2 linked regions of the Astyanax mexicanus genome follow. The protein of the gene in region 2 interacts with the protein of the main gene of each other region in a pairwise test. Links are inferred from orthologs where the notes say so. Each region holds a gene or a part of one and is shown on either strand. Other genes may lie near its edges.

Region 1 (11,054 bases), on a different chromosome or scaffold from region 2:
CACCGTAACCAGAGCTCAGAGTTAAAAATAAAGATGAAATAAGCGGAGGATCCTTGCCACTAGACACACTAGTGCACACAAACGGAGAGCAAGAAAAAATTTACACAAACCATTAACCTCTTGAGACCCAGGAGAAAACAAGGGTTATGTAATGGCATTAGATTTTTTCATGATGATTTTTGTTACCAGGCCTTTTCATTTTATATTCTTCCAAATTTGAGCAGACCCATTAGTTTGCAACCCCCTAAATAATTTCCAAAAAACTTTAACAATTCTGAAAAAAAAAAAAATCACATTTCTGTCTGTCTGCTTCATCAGAATCGAAAATAAAAACAAAAAATACAAAAGTGAGGCAGTATGTTCTGTAGTCCAACAGAGGGGACACTGAATAAAAGATGTTTTGTAGGGATATTGATTATTTTTGCCATAAAATATGAAAGCTGTGATGGGCAGCATTTTAAAAAGCACGGCCCTGTGCTCTGTTGGCCACACCCCCACAATAGAGAACACAGATTTAAAAAATTGTGCTTAACTTAAAGGACAAAAATAATGGCCAGTTTCTGATTTCTGAGGATGTCACCATGCAACAGTGGGTACAGCAACTGAAAGCTGATTAAATAAACAAGAGCGCTCCTAAAAAAGAAACAACCAAAAGCAAATACAATCAAATTTTGAACACTGTCGAAACCGATGCAGCCACAGAACCTCAATACAGATCAAATAATGACTGGTGATACCATTGTTCCACAAACACATACTCACATGACTCCCTGCAGCACTTTCTGTGGGTCGGGGTCGAAGAGCCGGTCAACATAATGGCGACTGGTGGCTGTGACTTCCTGCATGGCCAGAAAGAGAGAAAACTTGTATGAAAAAGGTTCACATCCAGACAACAGAACCAAACAGCCCACAGACCCCAAACCTGTGGGGGAAAACACTAGCAAAGCCCCATTCAGCCCAATGTTAGCCTCCAGTCCACACATCTTAAGCTTTCCCAGACACGAGATGAGGTTCTGACATCCGATAAGTCTGTTTACACGGGGACACGGGTGGGATCAGCAGATGAAACTTACTCCACGGATCACTCTGGCCAGCTGAAGTTTTGTTTTCAGGATATACGTATGACGTCCTGAACACAGAGCAATATTTCGTGCTTAAATTTCCACCACAGACATGCTGACTAATCTAAACACTCACAATTCTCATGGACCTAAGGGCAGGACATTTAATTTAATGTCAATTAATTTGATTTAAATGGCATCCTGATGGTACTTAAATGGCCCAAAATAAATATTTTCCATGATATGGGCCAAAAATCTCATTGTGAGATCCTACATCCATCATAAATTAGTCTTTAGTTTGTTTAAAACAACCAGACCAACGGATCTACCTGTGAGGTATGTTACCCTATCCCTTCCTCCACCTTAAAACACCTAAACTCCCCTCCCTAACACACAATGCAAGTAAGACAATATAATTAGTTCAGTATAAGTATAAAACATGGAATCATACGTATAAAATATGAGGAGCCCAGGGGTTGTTGGGTAATTAATTAAATGATTAAACACAGCTGTCCTTAATATTATATCTTGTTAATTAAATCTTGTTAAAATAAATGTACGTTTACAGCATTTAGCCGATGCTATCATCCAGAGTGACTTACAAGATTATTTCTATTACACAGGTGGGCCAATGTAGTGTTAGGAGTCTTGTCCAGGGACTCTTATTGGTGTAGCACAGCCTCCAGTCACCCAGACCTGGAATTGAACCCGTGTCTCCACAACAGTAGCTCACTATCAGGCGGTCGGGTTATCCACTGCACCACACCACCCACCATGCCACATAAATGACATTTATGTGCTTCTGCTACCATTCCTGCAAAGCCAAATATATTATTCCTGAACACAGTGTGTCTGGTAGGTCCCCAGGTCTTCTTCGGGTTATAACAGCTATTCCTGGTTACCTGAGCAACTATGCTGCTGATAATGGTGCTGATACAAGAGCTAGCTGGTGACCTAAAGAAGAGGGCAAAGGAATCCTTGCTAGAATTATTTTAATAGTATTTTTTATCATGCTTGGTGCAATTACACACCCTTATCAAAAACTTGAAAAATGTCACTGCGTTTTTGCAACAAGTATAGAGTACAAAGAAGAGAGTATTTCAAAACATAAAAACAATATATAAAAACAATATAAGTATCTGTGAATATAATGTGCTTTTATGAACACACCACAAGGCAGTCAATCAAAAAACACATTTCCATAATGCACAAATTTTATTTTTTGTGTTTTTTATGCTTTGTGTTATTACAATCCCAGGTTTTGACTACTGTTTGACTTCTTAATTCAATTCAAGTATTAAATGCAGCTGTTTGGCCAAGGAAACCTATCCATTGACCCTGCTCTGCCTTTTTACGTGACCTGCCATTTGTGGTAGAGTTGCTGTCGTTTCCAGTCACTCCCACTTCGTTATATTATTACTGAAAATTGACTGCGGAATAGTTAGTACAGGGATTCACGCTACAGACCTCAATCGCTACAAACCTCCAAACATCATGTGGCCTTCAGATTAGCTCAAGAAGAGTTGAAAGTAGAGAGCTTCATGAAATGGGTTTACGTGGCTGAGCAGCTGAATTCAATGCACAATGAATTAAACAAACAGTAGTCAAACACTGAAAGTTTAATAACAAAAACATTATTTAAAAACAAAAAAACAAACAAAAAAAGACTAGTTATATGCGAATGCATTTTGGAAACCGACATTAGAGTCGACATATTTTAAACCGATGCTTGATGTATATATTGTATTTATTTTTACTAGTTTAAATAGATCTTTAGTTTTACTTAACCTGTTCTCCAGGTGAGGACCAGGTAGCGCTTTCATTTTATTGTTTGCATAAAGTTGGGTTACAAGCTTAAAAAGTACTGCCTAGCAAGCCTGGGTGTTAACGGCTATAAGAGCAAGTTGCTATTTGCTGCATGCATGAGTTTCACTTACAGCTCTGGAAACAAATAAGAGACAACTTTGCTATTTATAGGTATATGTTTTGAGTAAAATGAACTTTGTTTTACTCTATAAACTACAGACAACATTTTTCCCAAATTCCAAATAAACATACTGTCATTTAGAGCATTTAAAATAGCTGAAATAAAAAAAGATGCAGAGCTTTTATACATCAAATAATGCAAAGATATTCACAATATTCACAAAGTTTAAGAGTTCAGAAAACAATATTCGGTGGAATCAATTAATTATTTAATCACAGTTTTCATGCATCTTGGCATGTTCTTCTCCACCAGTCTTTCACACTGCTTTTCTTTTTTTTTTTTTTTTACTTTGTAACGGTGCTATTACTGGTGTAACAATGCGTAGATGCGTCCAAAGCCAAATCAGACATAACGTAAATAGTAAATTCACTTTAAATAAAATTTTATACTTTAACAGCTTTTGTAACTTACTTAAGTTTTTGAGTTGAAGCTGCTAATTTTTTGACAGTATAGAACTCAACAAGACGGGGGCGTTTCCAGCGGCTAGCATGAGTTAGCCAATTAGCTTGGCAGTTTGACATGGCTAGCTAGCTAAGCTAGAGTTAGCTTTATGGTTGAAGTTTCACACAAGGTTAGCTAACTAACTAATTAGCTACCTCTCTATTGGCACATAATCAAACCAACATACATCTGCTAGTTAGCTATCTAGCTATATATAGGTTAGACCTGCCAGGCTTGTTAGCTAAAGCTGACAGCCTGGGATTCAGTAAACACAGTAGGGCTAGCTTGGCTACGTTAGCCTTAGCAAGTTAGACAGATAGAGGTTGATTAGAGCTAGCTAGCCGAGCAAATACAGGGCTAAACAGCAGCCCAGAAAGTCACCCAACTTCAGTGGCAGCTAGCTAAAGCTCCGGGTGTTTAGCCAGCGTTCTAACTAAACCCGAAATTAAGCACCTTTTCCAGGCAATAGACTAATAAACAAGCGGGCTCGCTCTGCTGGATGGAGTTAAACCAGCTGTCGGGCAGTGCAGGGCGCTGCGGGGCTCTGCAGGTCGGCTAGCCGGAGCTAACCCCAGCTCTCCCGGCTCTGTAGCGCCGCCGGTGAGTGAGTTAACTCCGCCTGACCGACCCGATCCACCCGCGGTGCTCCGCACAAACACGCTCAACTAATGCACTGCACTTCAGACCAAACACCGCACTAGGTTCCACGGCTCCGGTTGCAGGTGTGAGCCGCGGGACACGCGAAAAACAGCGGGGTTAGAGGAAGATTTAGGGGCTCGGACTTACGGACAGCACGCTGATGCGCAGCGGGGCCTCCAGCAGACACGCCATCTCTCTGTGTCCGAACAGCCGGGGAACACGAGCGGCACTTTCCACACACACACACCTGAGAGAGAGAGAGAGCCAGTCAAAATTTGGACACACCTCTTCTCATAAATTTTGTTTTATCTAATTAACGCTAATCACACGAACATCCTGTGATTAGACACCATTAATTACATCCTATCTTCCTTAAGAAAAGATTACGCTTTTGATAAACTGTATTTTAAACAAGAATCACTTTTAGAAACATGAAACATTTATGTTATTGGTGCCAGTCCCTTTCTTGTATTGATCACAACAATATTCTGTGATTAAATCACAGATGAAATCATGATTACATATTTTTAATACTGGTAGAAAAATATATTATAATACGGTAAAACAAAAATCAGATTTTATGTCCCCTTCCTAAAATTCCTTAAGGCTTTCATTTTATGAAGGGTTCTTTTTTTACTGTATTACAATATCTCAGGGTAGTTTTGCTTTTTAAACTACACTATTGTAACGAGCCGAGTTGCTGAGTTTAACTGGGATTTTGAATATAGAAAATATACGCTAGTTTACATCCATATTTCACATTGAACAGCTTGAAAAGAGGAAACGTGCCATCAGCTCTGTGTGCATGACTACGCGAGTGAGTGTGTGTAGGGGTGTGAGAAGAGAGAGAGAGAGAGACAGAGAGAGAGAGAGAGAGAGAGAGAGAGAGAGAGAGAGAGAGAGAGAGAGAGAGAGAGAGAACATAATTAATCTACATATTAATCTGTAAAGTAATGAATAAACTACATAGTTCCACGTGTTCCTGTATAGATTTAACGTCTATATTAAATTTACTTGTGTGTGTGTGGTACTGTATATAGTTTAACTGAAGCTTTTAATCACTGTTTTTGCTTATTATTATTTTATGCTTTATGAATCATTTTATTTCTTTGGGAAAGTTTTGTTACTGATACAAATTTAAAGGAAAGAAAACATAAACCGCTATTTTACTAAATGGTGCGCTATACGTGACTTATATTTTTACGAAAATAATTTTTGCATAGTGGAAAGTGCTGGTGGCTGGCAAAACTGGTTTTACCATGTAAAGTACAGCGAGTGCGCATGCGTGGCCGGTGAATAATGGAGGGTAAGTTGGATCACTGAGAGGGAAATATTGTTAAAGCAGCGGTTTAACGACTAAAATACAGGTGAGACTACACACACAGCTTTTTTGTTTTGATGGAATAATGTCAGAAATGTTGTTTGTGTGCTTGCAGTTTTAATTTAGCTGTATAATCTTCCATTTCGTGCCGTGTCGTGGGCTTCTGTTTCGAATTGTCCGGTCCACCTTAAATACTGCAGCCTTTACTGCCTGGCGTCTGTTCAGGCGCCAATACGTTAGCTAATACGTAATAAGTAATTTAAGGTGGAACGGATAATTCCGTTTTGTTGCAGTTATTCAGCTAACGTTACCTGATGAGCAGCGTCTATCACTTCTTAAACCCTAAAACTGACAAGTTAAAATATGTGAATAACCTGCTGAAGAAAAAAAGATAATCAACTCAAACTGGTCAAGCTGGTTGACTAGCTTAGCTAGATTCTGACCAGTACAGGGTTATGATTTATGTTTTAGTTTGATGGTTAACAGGCTTGTGTGGTTGTTGGACGTTCCTCCAGAGTCTAACTACCATTCTACTTAAAATGCATTTCTATTGATTTTATGCTATATCTGTATCTGTCCAATGTGTCCATGTGAAAACCCCCACCATGTTTAACATATTGGACTAATGTGACCTTTGTCCTGTCAATAGGTTCACTGGTCTGGATATGCACGACTCAGAGTTCCTGGATTTAATAAGACTCTGTCTGAAGAAGCACTTTTTCCTGTGTTAGCAATATTTATTTTTTTAAAACAAAATCTGGACTTTAACATCTACGGATATGAAAATAGCTGTTGAAGGCTGCTGCCATGGCGAACTGGACAAGATATACGAGACCATCAGCCACCTGGAGCGCAAGGAAGGCCTCAAGGTGGACCTGCTGCTGTGCTGTGGGGACTTCCAGGCTGTGCGGAATGAGGGGGACATGAAGTGTATGGCCGTGCCGACCAAGTACAGGCAGATGCAAACTTTTTACAAGTAAGATTTTACGTAGATGATCGATCTACTGCAGCTGTGTATGCTGCTGCATTTTTTGTTTAATATTTTCTATCTCATTCGCACTGTAAAAGGTATTATTCTGGAGAGAAGAAAGCACCTGTCCTGACTATCTTCATCGGGGGAAACCATGAAGCTTCAAACCATTTACAGGAGCTTCCCTATGGAGGGTGGGTCGCCCCCAATATTTACTATTTGGGTAAGAGTTTGTGTCTGTATTGCTGTATTGCCTATAAAGTAAAGTGCTAAACATTATAATAGAATGTTCTTTTGTCTGAGATCATTTAATATCTTTGATTAGATTTGAAGTATTTATGTATTAATTATCTGAGTGTTTTTTTACTTTTAGAAATTAGAAAATGTTAAATAAAAGCATGGACAATAGTGGGAATATTATCCATGTTCCTGTTAGTATAATGTATAAAGTTAACCTTTTTGGACTAAGTTACCCTATTTGGACTAATTGTAAGTTGCCCTAATTGGGCTAAGTTGCCCTAATTGGGCTAAGTTGCCCTAATTGGGCTAAGTTGCCCTATTTGGACTAAGTTACCCTATTTGGACTACTTGTAAGTTGCCCTAATTGGGCTAAGTTGCCCTAATTGGGCTAAAGTTGCCCTAATTGGGCTAAAGTTGCCCTAATTGGGCTAAGTTGCCCTGATTGGGCTAAGTTGCCCTAATTGGGCTAAGTTGCCCTAATTGGGCTAAGTTGCCCTAATTGGGCTAAGTTGCCCTAATTGGGCTAAGTTGCCCTATTTGGACTAAGTTACCCTATTTGGACTACTTGTAAGTTGCCCTAATTGGGCTAAGTTGCCCTAATTGGGCTAAGTTGCCCTAATTGGGCTAAGTTGCCCTAATTGGGCTAAGTTGCCCTAATTGGGCTAAGTTGCCCTATTTGGGCTAAGTTGCCCTATTTGGGCTAAGTTGCCCTATTTGGGCTAAGTTGCCCTATTTGGATAGGATAAATTTTACCTAGTCATTGAGGTATTGTAATTTTAATTTTAGTTCACATATTTTTTGACATACACTGCAGTTTTCTATAATATAAAAAAGCTATTGTTAAGAGTTTTGTGGACGCTGAGAACTCAGTCATTGTTAGGTGATGTTATCAGATTCCAGTTTTTCTCTTAGATCTTTATTCCAGTGATTTAAAGTGGGGTTGTATTGCTTGTTTTGCAGGTTATGCTGGTGTTGTTCGCTACAAAGGAATACGGATTGGTGGTCTTTCTGGAATTTTCAAATCCCATGATTACAGAAAAGGTAATGGCAGAGCATACTCCACACATTTAAGTAAAGATATATGACATTGCATAAATTGGACATTTATACTGAACCTGCTCATTAATCTGTTTCAGGACACTTTGAGTTTCCACCTTACAACCAAGAGACCCTGCGCAGTGTCTACCACATCAGGAACAGTGATGTTTTTAAGCTCAAACAGGTGAGCCGGACTGTGCTGGAGGCTGAAAGGGGTTTGAATATGTACCTGTTTGTGTTGCTTAAATTGAGTAAGAATCTAAATTAAAACGTGACAATAAACTGTATGCCCATAATATTAATTATTAGGCTTTTAGCTGAATCAGAACAAAATTGACACATATGGCATATCTTCAAACACCAAATACAGAACACGTTTTTTTGTCCGCAGATTTTTTTTAAAAATTGGCCACTTTTTTGTTTGCTATTGTGCTTCAAAAACATTTATTTTTAACAGCAGGTTCAACATAAAAAAGTAAATTATTTTGTTGCTCAATATTTCATACAACCCTAATGATTATACTCTACCAGCCAAAAGTATCTTACATACCTTCTCAATCAGTGTTTTTATTTGTTTTATTAGTTTTTTTTTTTTTTTTTTTTTTTTTACATTGTAAATTAATACTAAAGTCATCCAGACAATGAAGGAACACACAATCAATCATGTAGTAACTTAAAAAGTGATAAACAAACCAAAATACTCTGTGAAGCATTTTTTGGGTGCTCCATTACTCCATGTGTTAGTGCTTCTCAAATGTGAAATTGACAGCAATAAATCCATAATCTCTGGTATTTGCTTATATAGAAGTATTTAATTTTCTTCAGTAACACATATGTTGTGAAGTATCGTAGAGAATTGTGGGCAACATATCTTGATGTGATATATTGTATCATGAGATTCCCTGTAATTCCCAGCCCTAGTATATATCCTAACTATACTTTCAAACATGGGGATCTCAGACAATGTGCTGTCATGGTTTAGATCATACCTCACTGGGCGCTCGTTCAAGGTGTCGTGGCAAGGACAGCTGTCCTCAGCCCACTCCCTATCCACTGGGGTTCCCCAGGGTTCGGTACTGGGTCCCCTTCTCTTCTCAATATACACTGCCTCTCTTGGTCAGGTTATCCACTCACATGGCTTTTCCTACCATTGCTTTGCTGATGACACCCAGCTATACCTGTCATTCTCACCTGAAGATAACTCAATCTCTGCACGGATATCGTCGTGTCTCTCTGACATATCCTCTTGGATGAAGGAGCATCACCTTCAATTAAATCTCTCAAAGACTGAACTTCTGGTCATACCAGCAAAACCATCTTTTCAACACAACCTCTCTATAAGCATCGACTCTCTCTCTCTCTCACCGACAAAGGTTGCTAGGAACCTGGGTGTTATGGTTGATGACCAGCTCTCCTTCACGCACCATGTGGCCTCGGTTGCCCGATCCTGCCGCTTCGCACTTTATAACATCAGGAAAATTAGACAGTTTCTGACGCAACAGGCCACCCAACTCCTGGTACAAGCAATCGTCATCTCACGCCTCGACTACTGCAATGCCCTGCTAACTGGCCTCCCGGCTTGCGTAGTAAAACCACTGCAAATGATCCAGAATGCAGCAGCACGTCTGGTCTTCAACCAACCAAAACGGGCACATGTCACCCCGCTGCTCATTGAGCTCCACTGGCTACCAGTTCAAAACTCTTACAATCGCCTACAAGGTGATGACAGAACAGGCTCCTTCCTACCTGCACTGATCACTCCTGAAGGCTTACGCTACCTCCCGGCCGCTGCGCTCCTCCAATGATCGTCGCCTCGCTTTGCCAAACACTCACACAAAGCAATCCAGACTGTTCTCATACAGAGTTCCCCAATGGTGGAACAAACTACCCTCCACTACCAGATCAGGAGAATCTCTCGCTATCTTTAATAAACTCCTGAAGACTGAGCTCTTCAAAGAGCACTTACTCTCCTAACATCTCTAACACACTAACTACTTCTAACCTCATTTCCTTCTTCCCCTCCTTCACTTCTCTATCCCTTTATTTCCCTTCGACCTCCTTTAAGCCCTATCTAAAAATGGGTTATCTAAATTCCTATTACTTTTGTACTTCACTATTGTAAGTCGCTTTGGACAAAAGCGTCTGCCAAATGAAATGTAACGTAACGTAATGTAATGTAATATATCAGCATATTGTGATACATTGTCATTTTAAATAATGTATCATGATTGTAGTATTTTTGCTAAATCGACGACCTCAGTTCTTCATTCTCCTTGTTTTGTGGACTGTATTCATTTCTCATGTGCTGCTTCAGATCCAGATGCCCATGGACGTGTTCATGACGCACGACTGGCCACGGGGCATCTACCACTATGGCAGCACAGAGGCGCTGCTGCGGAAGAAGCGGTTCTTGCGTGAGGAAGTAAACTCCGGAACGCTGGGCAGTCCAGCCGCCGCAGAGCTGCTCCACCACCTGCAGCCCAGCTATTGGTTCTCTGCACATCTGCACGTCAAATTCGCTGCCCTGATGCAGCACGAGGTACTGCAGCATCCATACAGCTGAAGCCTTTCGCACTGATAAGAGTGCTTGAATGAATAAGACAGTTTCTGCTGCTGATGGTAGAACATGCTGTACATGTGATGGTATGAATTAATTAATTTATGAATATCTCTGTATTTGTCTGTAGGCCAAAGGAAACGCTACTCCTAAAACCACCAAGTTCCTTTCTCTTGATAAATGTCTTCCCTATAGAGACTTTCTTCAGGTAAGACACTGATCCAGCTGTACTGACTGTGTTATTGTTATTAAGGGAGACACAAATATGAGGTTTTTGGGATAATACTATATCTGATAACTAATGATGGATACCACTAAAAAATAATCAATTTCATATGACATCATAGTATTATCACTACGTCTTCTAAGAGATGAATTGGAGCTCTGACAAGTGAAGTGCAGTAATAAAGTCATTGCTAAGATGAGAAAATAAAATAACAGCTTGTCTGGGCCATACAGCACTGCTACTGGACTACTATAAAAAAAAAAAAAACTTTGATTGGTAGAAGAATGAAAAATTGTGCAGAATGAAATTTGTGCAGGAAAAAATAATATAATGATGTATTTTGTGCGTCACGATAATATATGAAATATATTTAGTATACATTAAAGTATTTCATTAGTTATGCTGGTAATGTTATCGCTTGGCACACTTTAAAGATGATGGATGATGTGGGGAGAGATTGTCCCCCTCCATGCACTGAACTCATTATTTTGCCGTGACAAGAAAAACATTATTTATTTTTCATTTGCTTTAATGCCTTTTTTAAGAGATGTACAAGACACTACACCTACCAGTC
Region 2 (11,547 bases):
ATTGCAGTGCTAATAAACTATGCAATACTACTGTGGATGCACAAGGTAGCCATCTTGGATTCTTAACTCTGATTTAAAGATGTGTTTTCAGTTGAGATGACCTACTTTAACTCAAACTCCAACACCTAACAAACCAATTTAGCACCAAAATGGCAGTTATAGCCTACAACCTGATCTTTATTCAAAATAACACATATACTCAAAAGTGTGAATCAATCTGAATTACATGAGGCAAATAATGAAAAGCTGTTTAACAGCAAAAAACAAGGCATAACTGTATAAGGACTCAGTATATTCAGTTTTACTGAATCAGTAAAACAGCAGCATCTTAATTTAATATGGACTTTAAACATTCACACTTCCTCTTGACCTCATTCTAGAGCAGGGAGGTCAGGCTTTGTCCTACTAAGCATACTTTTTAAATACAGAGCTTTTGTGACTCAAACTACTCAAAAATAGCAAGGTACCTATAGGCTAAAATGCACAGAATAGGGAGAGTTAGACCAGGAGGGAGAATTTGACCAGGCCAGTGACCATCAGTAACCTATGATTACTCATGGTCGTGATTAAGAGACACAGGAAGGGCTTGGTTTCCCCGTCCCTCACACTCAGATGGCAATTTAAACTATATTTATAACCTTTTTCATAACAATTTAAATATACCATAAAACACAACCAAATTTCCTGAGCTAAACAAAAGCTGAACATCCAGATAGATAACACCACTGATTTTAGGAATAACAAGCGCTGCTAAACAGACACAGGCAGCTAGCAAGCTGAAGTTAAGGATTTCACATATTGTTTGGTACTTTAGGATTTAAATGGCACACACTGTTTAAAAACAACATCTAGAAATACATGAATATGGGTTAAGAAGCTTATTAAAAAAAAGGTGTAAAATTAACTAATATAAAATACAATCAAATCAAAAACACAGGCAGTTAGCCAGCTAAAGTTAAAGAGTTATCCCAAATGTTAATACTTTTTGTTTTTTGGATTTAATGTGACATTTTTGAAAACAAGTGTTTTAACATCAAGGAATAAATATTCAATGGTTTGGAAACTTTAAAAATTAGTTTTTTTAATTTTAAATCTAAGTTAAGGTTTCTCCTATATGTAGGTACTTTTTGGGGATTTAACGTCAAAGATGTTTAAAAACAACCAGTTTAATGTCCAGGAATAAATATTTATGGGTTTGGAAGCTTTTAAAACTTGTTAATTTAAACAAAACAAGGAAAATCTAACCAAACAGCTAGTGAGCTAAAGTTAAGGATTTCTCCTATATTTTGGTACTTGTTTAGGAAATACTCACATATAATGAATTAAATGTATTTAATGCTTTAATAAAACAAACATCCAGGCATAACTATAGATGGGTTTGGGGGGCTTTAAAGTCGTTAATTTAAGCAACAAAAAGTGGAAAATCTAGACTAAGCCCGAGGCTGTAGGGAGGACATTAAACCTTTAAATAAAGTGATATTTGTAATGACTGTATTCGTTAGAAATTATGTAATTGTCAACTGGATGAATTAAACTGAACAGAAATTGAGTAGTAGCCTATTACTAATGGTTGTAACTGGCTAAGAGGCATGGGACATGTTTCTCCAAGTTTACCTGATATACATAAATATACTTTAAAGACAAAAACTCAAATAGCCTAACTTACTAGTTATCTAACTTTTATATCTATTCTCCCTCATTTTGGTATTTTATATTCAGGAATAAATATTAGTCGATTTGGAAGCTTTTAAACTTGTTAATTTACCAACAGTGAGGAAAATCTAACCAAACACAGGGAGCTAGCCAGCTAAAGTTAAGGATTTTGCCTTTATTTAGGTAATAATTTTGAATTTTAATAATTAATCATTTTAATAGATGGTTCAATGCTGGTTCAAAGGTTTAAGAACAACTGATTTAAAAGCTTCCAGAACTCTGTATTTATCCGTGGATGTTAAGTCATTAATTTAAGTAAAAAGGCAAAATAAATCGGAACTTAGCCCCAGGCTTTAGGGAGGAGTCCTAAATATCCCACCAGTTGTAGTCAGGGGGGTCAGCAGGGACAACATATAACCTAGCTAATCCTTAACAATAAACCTTTAATAAAGTCATATTTTTAAGTACTGTATTCGTTAGAAATTATGTAATTGTCAACTGGATTTACAAATTACATTCTGAGTAGTAACCATTACTCATGGATGTGATTGGTTAAGAGAAACGTGAAGGGCATTATAGACTCAAATGTATATGTTTCTTTAGGTTTATCTGATATATTAATATACTTTAAAGTCATAAAAAACTTGGATAACTTGCTAGTTCTTTAATTAAGCTATCCAAGTTGCCATCCAGCTACCTAGCTAATTAGCTTAGCTTAGCTTAACCAAGTAGCATTAGTTAAGGGAGTTTGGGAATGCCACATTTTGGTACTTTTCGAAAATGTAAATGCCACATTGTTTAAAAACAAATGTTTTAACATCCAATGATATTTCTAAGTCGGGAAGCTTTTAAAACTTGGTTATTTAAATCAAATAAGAAAAACCTGAACACACACAGGCAGGTTTGATATTAAATGTTATATTTGATGGTTTTAATAGATTGAATTGTTTAAGAACAAGAGTTTTAACATCTAGGGATAAATATACAGGGTTTTGGAAGCTTTTAAAAAGTTGTAAATTTAGGCAAAAGGGCAAAAAATCTAAAATTAGCCCCAAGCTTTAGGGAGGAGTCCCAAAAATCCCACTGGTTGTGGTCAGAGGGGTCAGTGGGGACAACACAGCCTAAGCTAGCTAGTTTCTTTACCTCAAACCTTATAGTAGTGATATTTTGTGTGTTTAATTTGACAATTAATGTATTTGTAAGAAGTTATTTAATTATCATTTGGACAAAATGTATTTTGAGTAATTAAACCGTAGCCTATTACTCATGGTTGTGACTGGCTAAGAGACACAGGAAGGGCATTATAGATTCAAATGAACATGTTTCTTTAAGTTTCTGAAATATAAATGTACTATAAAGACCAGAAAAAAAAACCTTTAAAAAGATAGCTTAACTAACTAATTAGTTATCCAAGTTGTTACCCAGCTAGCTAGCTTATTAGCCTAGCTTAACCAAGTGGAATTAGTTAAGGAAGTGTGGGAATGCTATAGAGTGCTAACCAAACACAGGGAGCTAGGCAGCTATAGTTAAGGATCTCTCTTATATTTTGGTATTGCTTAAAAACTACTGTTTCAACGTCCAGGAATGAATATTTATGGTTTATTAAGCTTTTAAAACGTAGTAATTTAACTAAGATGACGAAAACCTGAACAAAACACAGACAGCTAGCCAGCTAAAGTTTTTATTTGCCTATATTTAAGACTTATTTTGAAACTGAAGGTCATATTTATTGTTTTCATTGGTTTAAAACAACTGTTTTAAAATCCAGGGATAGATAGTTAGATGGTTTCGGAAGCTTTTGAAGTTTAGCTTAAATAAAATGAGGAAAAACTAACCAAACACAGGGAGCTAACCAGCTAAAGTTATTGATTTCTCCCATATTTTAGAACTTTTGAGATTTAATGTCACATATTGTTTGAAAACATCTGCTTTCACATCAAGAAATAAATAAATATGGGTTTAAAAGCTTATTTAAATGTGTCTATTTAACTAAAATGAAAGAATATAACCAAACACAAGCAGCTAGCCAGCTAAAGTCAGGGATTTCTCCCATATTTTGGTAAATAATATTTTTTTTAGGATTTAAAGTTACATTTAATGTTTTTAATGGATTTAATGGTTTAAAACAACAGTTTTAACATCCAGGGATAAATATATATGGTTAATGACGCTTTTAAAACTTAATTTAAAAGGAAAACCCAACCAAACACAAGCAGCTAGCCAGCTAAAGTTAAGGATTTTGCCTGTATTTAGGTACTTATTTTGAAATTAAATGTTATATTTAATGGTTTTGATGGATTTAATGGTTTAAAAACAACTGTTAACATCCAGATATAAATAAATATGAGTTTAAAAGCTTATTAAAAAGTGTAAATGTAACTAAAATGAAAGACTCTAACCAAACACAAGCAGCTAGCCTGCTAAAGTTAAGGATTTTGCATGTATTTAGGTACTTATTTTGAAATTAAATGTGATATTTAACGGTTTTAATGGATTTAAATGTTTTAAAAACCAGGGATAGATATTTAGATGGTTTTGGAAGCTTTTAAAGTTTAAGTTAGTTCAAATGAGGAAAAACTAACCAAACACAGGGAGCTAACCAGCTAACGTTATGGATTTCTCCCATATTTTAGAACTTTTGAGATTTTAAAAATCACATATTGTTTAAAAACAACTGTTTTAACATCCAGAAATAAATAAATATAGGTTCAAAAGCTTATTAAAATGTGTAGATTTAACTAAAATAAAAGAATCTAACTTAACCAAACACAAGCAGCTAGCGAGCTAAAGTATTTTTTTTTAGGATTTAAAGTTACATTTAATATTGTTAATGGATTCAATCGTTTAAAAACACCTGTTTTAACATCCAGGGATAACAATATATATGGTTAATGACGCTTTTAAAACTTAATTTAAATAAAACTAGGAAAACCCAAACAAACAAGCAGCTAGCCAGCTAAAGTTAAGGATTTTGCCTGTAAATAGGTAACGTTACTTATTTTGAAATTAAAATGTTATATTTATTGGTTTTAATGGATTTTATGGTTTAAAAACACCTGTTTTAACATCCAGGAATAAATATAGAGGATTTTTAAGCTTTTAAAAGTCGGTAATTTGTCTAAAAAGGCGGAAAACCTGCACTTAACCCCAGGCTTTAGGGAGGAGTCCATAACTCTCTCCTGAATGTTAGCTGAGTTAAGTTATCCCACAAGTTGGAAAACCGGAGCGCGAATTTTCACAAACTATCAACTTTCAGCTCCCTTTTTCCAGCTTTTTCACACAAACTTCATATAATACGAGCTTCACAATCAAATTAAAGCCAGTTAAAGCGAGGATTAGGCTGTAAAACAGTAAATTAAACTCACCGAAACACGATAAACACAAAGTTAAGTTGGGCGAAACCTCAAAATGGAGGAAGAGCGGTTAAAATTCCGGTGAAAGTTTTCCTCCCGCCGCTGATCCCGGTATTAAAGCTTTCTCCGGTGGGTGAAAAGCCCTGCACACGCACTCAGACCGCGGGTAAAAAGGCTGAAATGATCCTCAGCTGGTTTCCTCAGCAGATCCGCGCTATACACACTTTCTGAACGCCTCGCTTTTCTCCCTTTCAGGGCTGTTCTGGGTGGGAGCGGAGGGGGGGAGGAGCTGTTCCTGGAATGGCGGCAGTGACGCAGCAGGCGGAAGAGGGGGAGGGGGCTGTTCTCAGGTGAGGGCTGGGTGTGGCTGCAGGCTCGAGCTTCACCTTTACCGCTTTATTTACCTGTTAATCTTCTCTCACACACATTACACACAGGTTCAGATTACAGAACAACACATTAATCCCCCTCAGCTCTTAGATCTGCTGATTTATACCGGATACAGACCAGCACAGACTGCACACTCCAGCACTAGTAACTACAAAACTGCACATTTAGCTTAAATACCTCTATTTAACTGCTGAAAATACAAAATACATCTAGATTCTATTTATTTTACGTTATTAAGTGAATTGTACGAAGCCCCTAAGGCAGGGGTGTCCAAACTTTTTTTGTTGGGGGCTAGAAGGAGAAATATATTTGAAGTCACAGGCCACAGACTCTGTAATAAAACAAATAATGAAATATACCACTTTAAATAATACATTTTCCTGATTACTTTCATTTACACACCATTTAACTTGACTTACTATCTTTATCTTTGACAGTGTTGTGTAAACTAAGATTTTTCAAATTGATGTTTAATTTCATGATGTCTCTTAATATTAAACTCCCTTAATTACGGCAACCTTTAGACTATTTGGCCCATTTTTTCTGCGCTACAACTGCTTTTTTTTCTCACATTATAAAAACCTGCTTAACAGCGGGCCAACGTTCATTCTATTTCTAAAATACCTTGCGGGCCGCTCCAAAAAAGGAAACGGGCCGCAAATGGCCCACGGGCCGTAGTTTGGACACCCCTGCCCTAAGGTGACATTATGTAAAAAAAATAGATGTGTGCTATCATAAATCATCATAAATCATTAAGAGATTAAAATAAAAATAAACCAGTTTACTCTCTATTTTCTTACTAAAGATTATCTTTGGATTAAAGGAGCTTTGATATAATATTCAGTTTTTTCATGAGCATTAATTTACAGAAAAGCCAGCTTTATTTTTCTTGGCTAGATTAAATTAACTTGTTCCCACGCCTTAATAAGTCGTGGCCACGCCTTAATAATCTCGTTCCCATGCTTTAATTATCTCGTTCCCATGCCAAATTATTTTATTCCCACGCCTTAGGATCTCGTTCCCACACATTTTTTTTTTACATAATGTCACGTTAGGGGCTCCATAGGGGGGAATTGCTATTTCGTTGATTTTAGATACTAAGTAATTTGCTTGAGATACCTTTAGTCATTGGGCCATTCCACCAAATGGGTGCCATTTCTGTCTTTTTCTGTCTCCAGTAAAGTACATGTTTAAATGTGCACACAAAATAACTTTAAAATACAGTTTATTATTAAGCATAGTATCTTGTACATTACCCAATTGCAAAAGTAAGATATGCAATTAAAAACATTAATAAAAACTACTTAGAACACTGAAAAAATAGCATTTGTTATTTGCCCCCACTGTCTGACTATAAACTTTACCATGAAATATATATATATTTTTTTTTGCATTGTTGTGTGACTTTAAATCCCATCTATGCTTTAAAAATATGTTTTTCATAATTAATTCATAATATTTAAAGGTCCCATTCTACCGTTTTTTTAAATCATTTTAAAACATATCCTTGTGGTCTCTAGTATAAATGAATGCTTTGTGTTTTTTTTTTTTTTTTTAAGTGCTCCGGTGTTTTTATTTAGCCCTGCTTTAGATCACTGAATTACTGGTCTCTAAAGAAAGTCATGATTTGGTTCTTGCTATTTATATGCAAATATATCACTGATTGACATTTTACATCTCTCTGATCAACTTGTACTTCTGAGGATTTTCTTTCACAAACTACTGCAGACAAGGGAGCCTAAGAATCAGTTTCATGTGCAGCATCATATACAATTCATAGAGACCTACAGTATTTCACAAAGAACAAGAAAAGATATATTTCAGCGGAAAGAGACCTTTACGTCAAAAAACACACTTTAGTTGTGTCCCTGGTTTTCACTCGGTTCTGTTACCGTAACACATTACCCCATCTGGACAATCTGGAACATTCTACAAGTCACATCTAGAACAGGAAGTGACATCAGCTGGTTCTTCTGAAGATCATGGGAAGACAAAAATTAAGTTCAACTCATTAGTTTTTATGTACATTTGATTTGAAACTCATTCCTGTTACTTTCTTTCCTGTTACTCATAACATAAAAACTAACACTAAAATGAGTGCCACTAAAAGGAGGTAGTTCCAGTAACAGGACTGAGTGCCTTTAGCAGGAGTGATATTTTTTCATGGGCATTAATTTACAGAAAAGCCAGCTTTATTATTCTCGGCTAGATTAAATTAACTTGTTCCCACGCCTTAATAAGTCGTGGCCACGCTTTAATAATCTCGTTCCCATGCCTTAATTATCTTGTTCCCATGCCAAATTATTTTCTTCCACGCCTTAGGATCTCGTTCCCACATTTTTTTTTTACATAATGTCACGTTAGGGGCTCCATAGGGGGAATTGCTATCTCGTTACTTTTAGAAACTAAGTAATTTGTTTGAGATGAATGCTAGTCATTGGGCCATTCTCCAGTAAATGACATATATAAATAAAGATAAAGATAAAAATAAAGAGTCAAGAGTCATAAGTCATTTAGACAAGATTTTCCATTATTTTTGAGATCTTCTTAATGTTCTCAATATTTAGAAATTATTTCTGAATATTTTGAGATGTTGTTTCATTACTTTGAGACACAATCTGGTTATTTTAAATACAAAGTCAGAGATATCTGGTCATGATGTGGAAATATCTTGTTGAAATTTTGTGGTAATTTTTCTTCTCTTTTACGATTTTATTTAGGGACGCTCGATGTAGGAATTCTTGGCTGATGCTAATCCTTGATATTATACATGTACTACTAGTGCATCTCAAAAAATTAGAATATCATTGAAAAGTTACTTTATTTCAGTAATTCAGTAAACTCATTATATAGATGTATTACACACAGATTGATCTATTTTAAGCATTTATTAGTGTGATTGCAGTATGCAATCACAGTATTGTTCTTCTTAAGTCTTATTCTTCTTCTTATTATTATTATTCCACCTGTTTTTTGTCCGGTTAACTAGTGCCGCAGTTTTCGAGATATCGACTTCGTTCAAAAGACAAAACGTGCGTCCTTATCGGGAATGGTGGGCTTGTATACAGCTTTCCGATCGAAGTGTGCGCTTTTTTGCCCATTGAAAATGAATGGGCAGAACTTTGCACGGCCGTGTACGTCACAATTTTTGAGATACGAAGATGAAACCAATTGAGGACCTGTAGAACTTATTGAGCTCTTTCCGAAAATATGCGTCACGAAACGTTACGACATACGAATTTCGTACGATTGTCGTACGAAGTGGCCCCATAGGAATGAATGGGGCCATCGGAGGATGGCAGCTAGATCGAAGGACGGCAGCTAGAACTCCAGTACTGTGTGTAATGGAGCCACGGGTCAAAAGTTTGGGTACCCCGGCCAGCACTGCAATCACACTCGCAGTTTCTGTAGGAACTGCAATCTAGTTTCTTTTATTGTTGATTATTTTGGCTTACAGCCAATAAAAACTCAAAAATCAGTGTCTCAGAAAATTAGAATATTATATAAGATCAATTGGTACTTTTGTCAGTGTGGGCAGTGTGCCAAGTCCTGCTGGAAAATCCACATCTCCATAAAAGTTGTCAGCCGAGGGAAGCATGAAGTGCTTTTCCATTTTTTTAAAAATGATATAATGCATATTGTCTTCATATCTAGCTTAAAGAGGTAAAGCTGAAGCTGTTCACCCTGTCAAATAATAAAAATATGAAAATATCACAGTAATTAAAATAAAGAAAGAAAGTCAAAATGTAATTTTGAAACAGAACAAGAACAGTCACCATGAACAATTCAACATTTCTGCAAATTTAGGTCAAACATGTTTTCATTAAATGCCCGTTTTTACTAAAATCGTTTATTCTCTCAGACAGTTTGCCATAGAAGGGTGGACACATGCATGACGGGTTTAAATAATAAGTGAAAATAAAGAGTAATTATGATGGAACATACATACATTTCTGTGTAGTCTATATTCTTATACATGTGATAATTATATCAAAAGAATAAAAATATACCCCTATATGAGTTTACCCTTTTAGTACACATGGATACAAGATAATGCAAATGTTTATCATCATCATTATAATTCCCAACACATAACTAATGCAAAAAGTCATGTTTTTTCCTTCCATTTCAAGCTGTTTTATTTCTGTTAGGTTAAAGCTTAAGCTGTTTTAACGGCTAGTCTTAACCCAGCCAGATCATTACTGTTATTTAAATATGTCTTGAGTGTCGTGTTCATTTACATAGCGCTCAGCAGAGCAGACACACTCCCCCGCTGCTGGGCAGCCATTCAGACGCTCGCAGTGCTGCGTTAGACTTGGCCTAGAATGGCACTCTTATTAAGGTTAGATTTCACGCCAACCTATCTATCACATCTACCTCCTCCTCCTCCAGCATGAATCCCTCTTTCCTTCAGTTCCAGACTACAGAATGTGGACAGCCCAAGCTCTTGGCATGTTCTTTTATATTCTCTCTCTCTCACACACACACACTCACACACTCATCCAGAGGGCTAATGTATAAAATATAATGTACTTCTGTACTTCGGTTCAAATGTTACAATGTTCTCCAAGCCCTGCAAGCCTCAACCTCCTCCACTGTCATGAAAACGTCTCAGTCAGGAGCTCGGCCAAATATCTGAGCTGAGCTCCTACCACTGTACAGCTCACTCTCACGCAGTGTACAAACTTAAATCAGGAAAAAAGTTGGGACAGTATGGTAAATGCAGTGATCTTTGTTGAAAAATGCTCTTGAAGCCAACATACAGCACTAGTGCATCTCCAAAAAATAGGATGTCATCCAAATGTTACTTTATTTCAGTAAATCAGTTTAAAATGTGAAACTCATATACTGTATTATATAGATGTATTAAACACAAAGTGATCTGTTTTAAGCGTTTATTTATTTTATTGTTTATGATTATGAAGCTTACAGCCAATGAAAAACCAAAAGTCAGTGTTTCAGAAAATGAGAATATTATATAAGAACAATTGGTACTTTTGGCAGTGGGGGCAGTGTGCCAAGTCCTGCTGGAAAATGAAATCTGCATCTCCATAAAAGTTGTCAGTAGCAGAGGGAAGCAGCATGAAGTGCTGTAAGATTTTGTGGGAAAACAAAACTGCACTGACTTTAGACTTGATAATAAAACACAGTGGATCAACACCAGCAGATGACATGTCTCTCCAAACCATCACTGATTGGTGGAAACTTCACACTTCAAGTCCAAAGTCAGTGCAGTGTTTTCCCAGACCATCTAACACTCTTTGCTCGGTATTGTTCTTGTGAGTGTTTATCCTTTTCTTATGCCTTTTTTTGTTATAACCCTTTTTCGTCTTCGGTTTACTGTCTTTATTTTGCTGATTTTTTTGTAGTTCTTGGTGTTAACCTCTGCCTGAATCTCATTTACTCCTTTGGATCTTCCCTTGTGTAATGTTTTGCCTTGGATCTTACTGACCTGGACTGTTTTCTGCATTTCTCTTTTGAGCTGACCTTTTTCTAAGAAACCCTATTGGTTGTTTTTTTTTTTTTTTATCTACGAGCATCTGATTCACTCCCTGATTGTTACATTACCTTTTTGAAGAATTAATGTTTTGTGTTGACCTGCAACTGTAAAATGCAATTGATCATAATATAGGCACTTTCAAGGCATCATTTAAAATTAGTATATACACAGGATTTGTACATGTTTTTGCATAGTAATCATTATATTTAGGTTCTAGAAATTGAGACAAGTTGTTTTACTGTCGCATTAGGGTATTTTTTTTGGCTTAGTTCTGGTAGTATTCTCAGTTTAAGAGCCACTAAACCCTAAACCATATTATTTTAATTAATAGCTAAAATGTGTTCCTTTAAAGTAATGAAACATACCAGTCCTGCTTATAATTTTTATAAACCTTTCCTAACCTTTAAAAAAAACGCTTTTATTTTGGTTATTTTCCTCCTCTGCAGCGCCCTCTCAGGTTTAACTGTGCTATAGACTTGGCTGATGTTTGCGTGTACTTTGGTGCACAGACAAATCACAATATGCAAATCAGTCTCAATAATACCCCACCGCCCCCTCTTGCTGACGTCCAACCATCTGCGTCTCACCACTATCAAAGGCACACTGCTGCTGCTGCAGCTCAGCCAATCAATCTTTCCCTCTTGCCCTGCC

The links.
Region 1: the proteins of ctnna1 (region 2) and armc8 interact in a two-hybrid assay, tested with the Homo sapiens proteins (2 studies listed by BioGRID and IntAct). The link is inferred for Astyanax mexicanus from reciprocal best matches to the Homo sapiens genes CTNNA1 and ARMC8.

Annotation. Positions count from the first base shown.
Region 1 is NC_064418.1:10,797,304-10,808,357, reverse strand, and holds the start of armc8 (armadillo repeat-containing protein 8), read right to left. Parts: upstream 4,382-11,054; 5' UTR 4,321-4,381; coding exon 4,276-4,320; intron 840-4,275; coding exon 763-839; intron 1-762. Other genes in the region: dbr1 (lariat debranching enzyme), read left to right, coding at 6,229-6,425, 6,518-6,642, 7,620-7,700, 7,796-7,881, 10,012-10,236, 10,385-10,462. UniProt on the Homo sapiens protein: Component of the CTLH E3 ubiquitin-protein ligase complex that selectively accepts ubiquitin from UBE2H and mediates ubiquitination and subsequent proteasomal degradation of the transcription factor HBP1.
Region 2 is NC_064409.1:75,354,839-75,366,385, reverse strand, and holds the start of ctnna1 (catenin alpha-1), read right to left. Parts: upstream 5,295-11,547; 5' UTR 5,019-5,294; intron 1-5,018. UniProt on the Homo sapiens protein: Associates with the cytoplasmic domain of a variety of cadherins. The association of catenins to cadherins produces a complex which is linked to the actin filament network, and which seems to be of primary importance for cadherins cell-adhesion properties.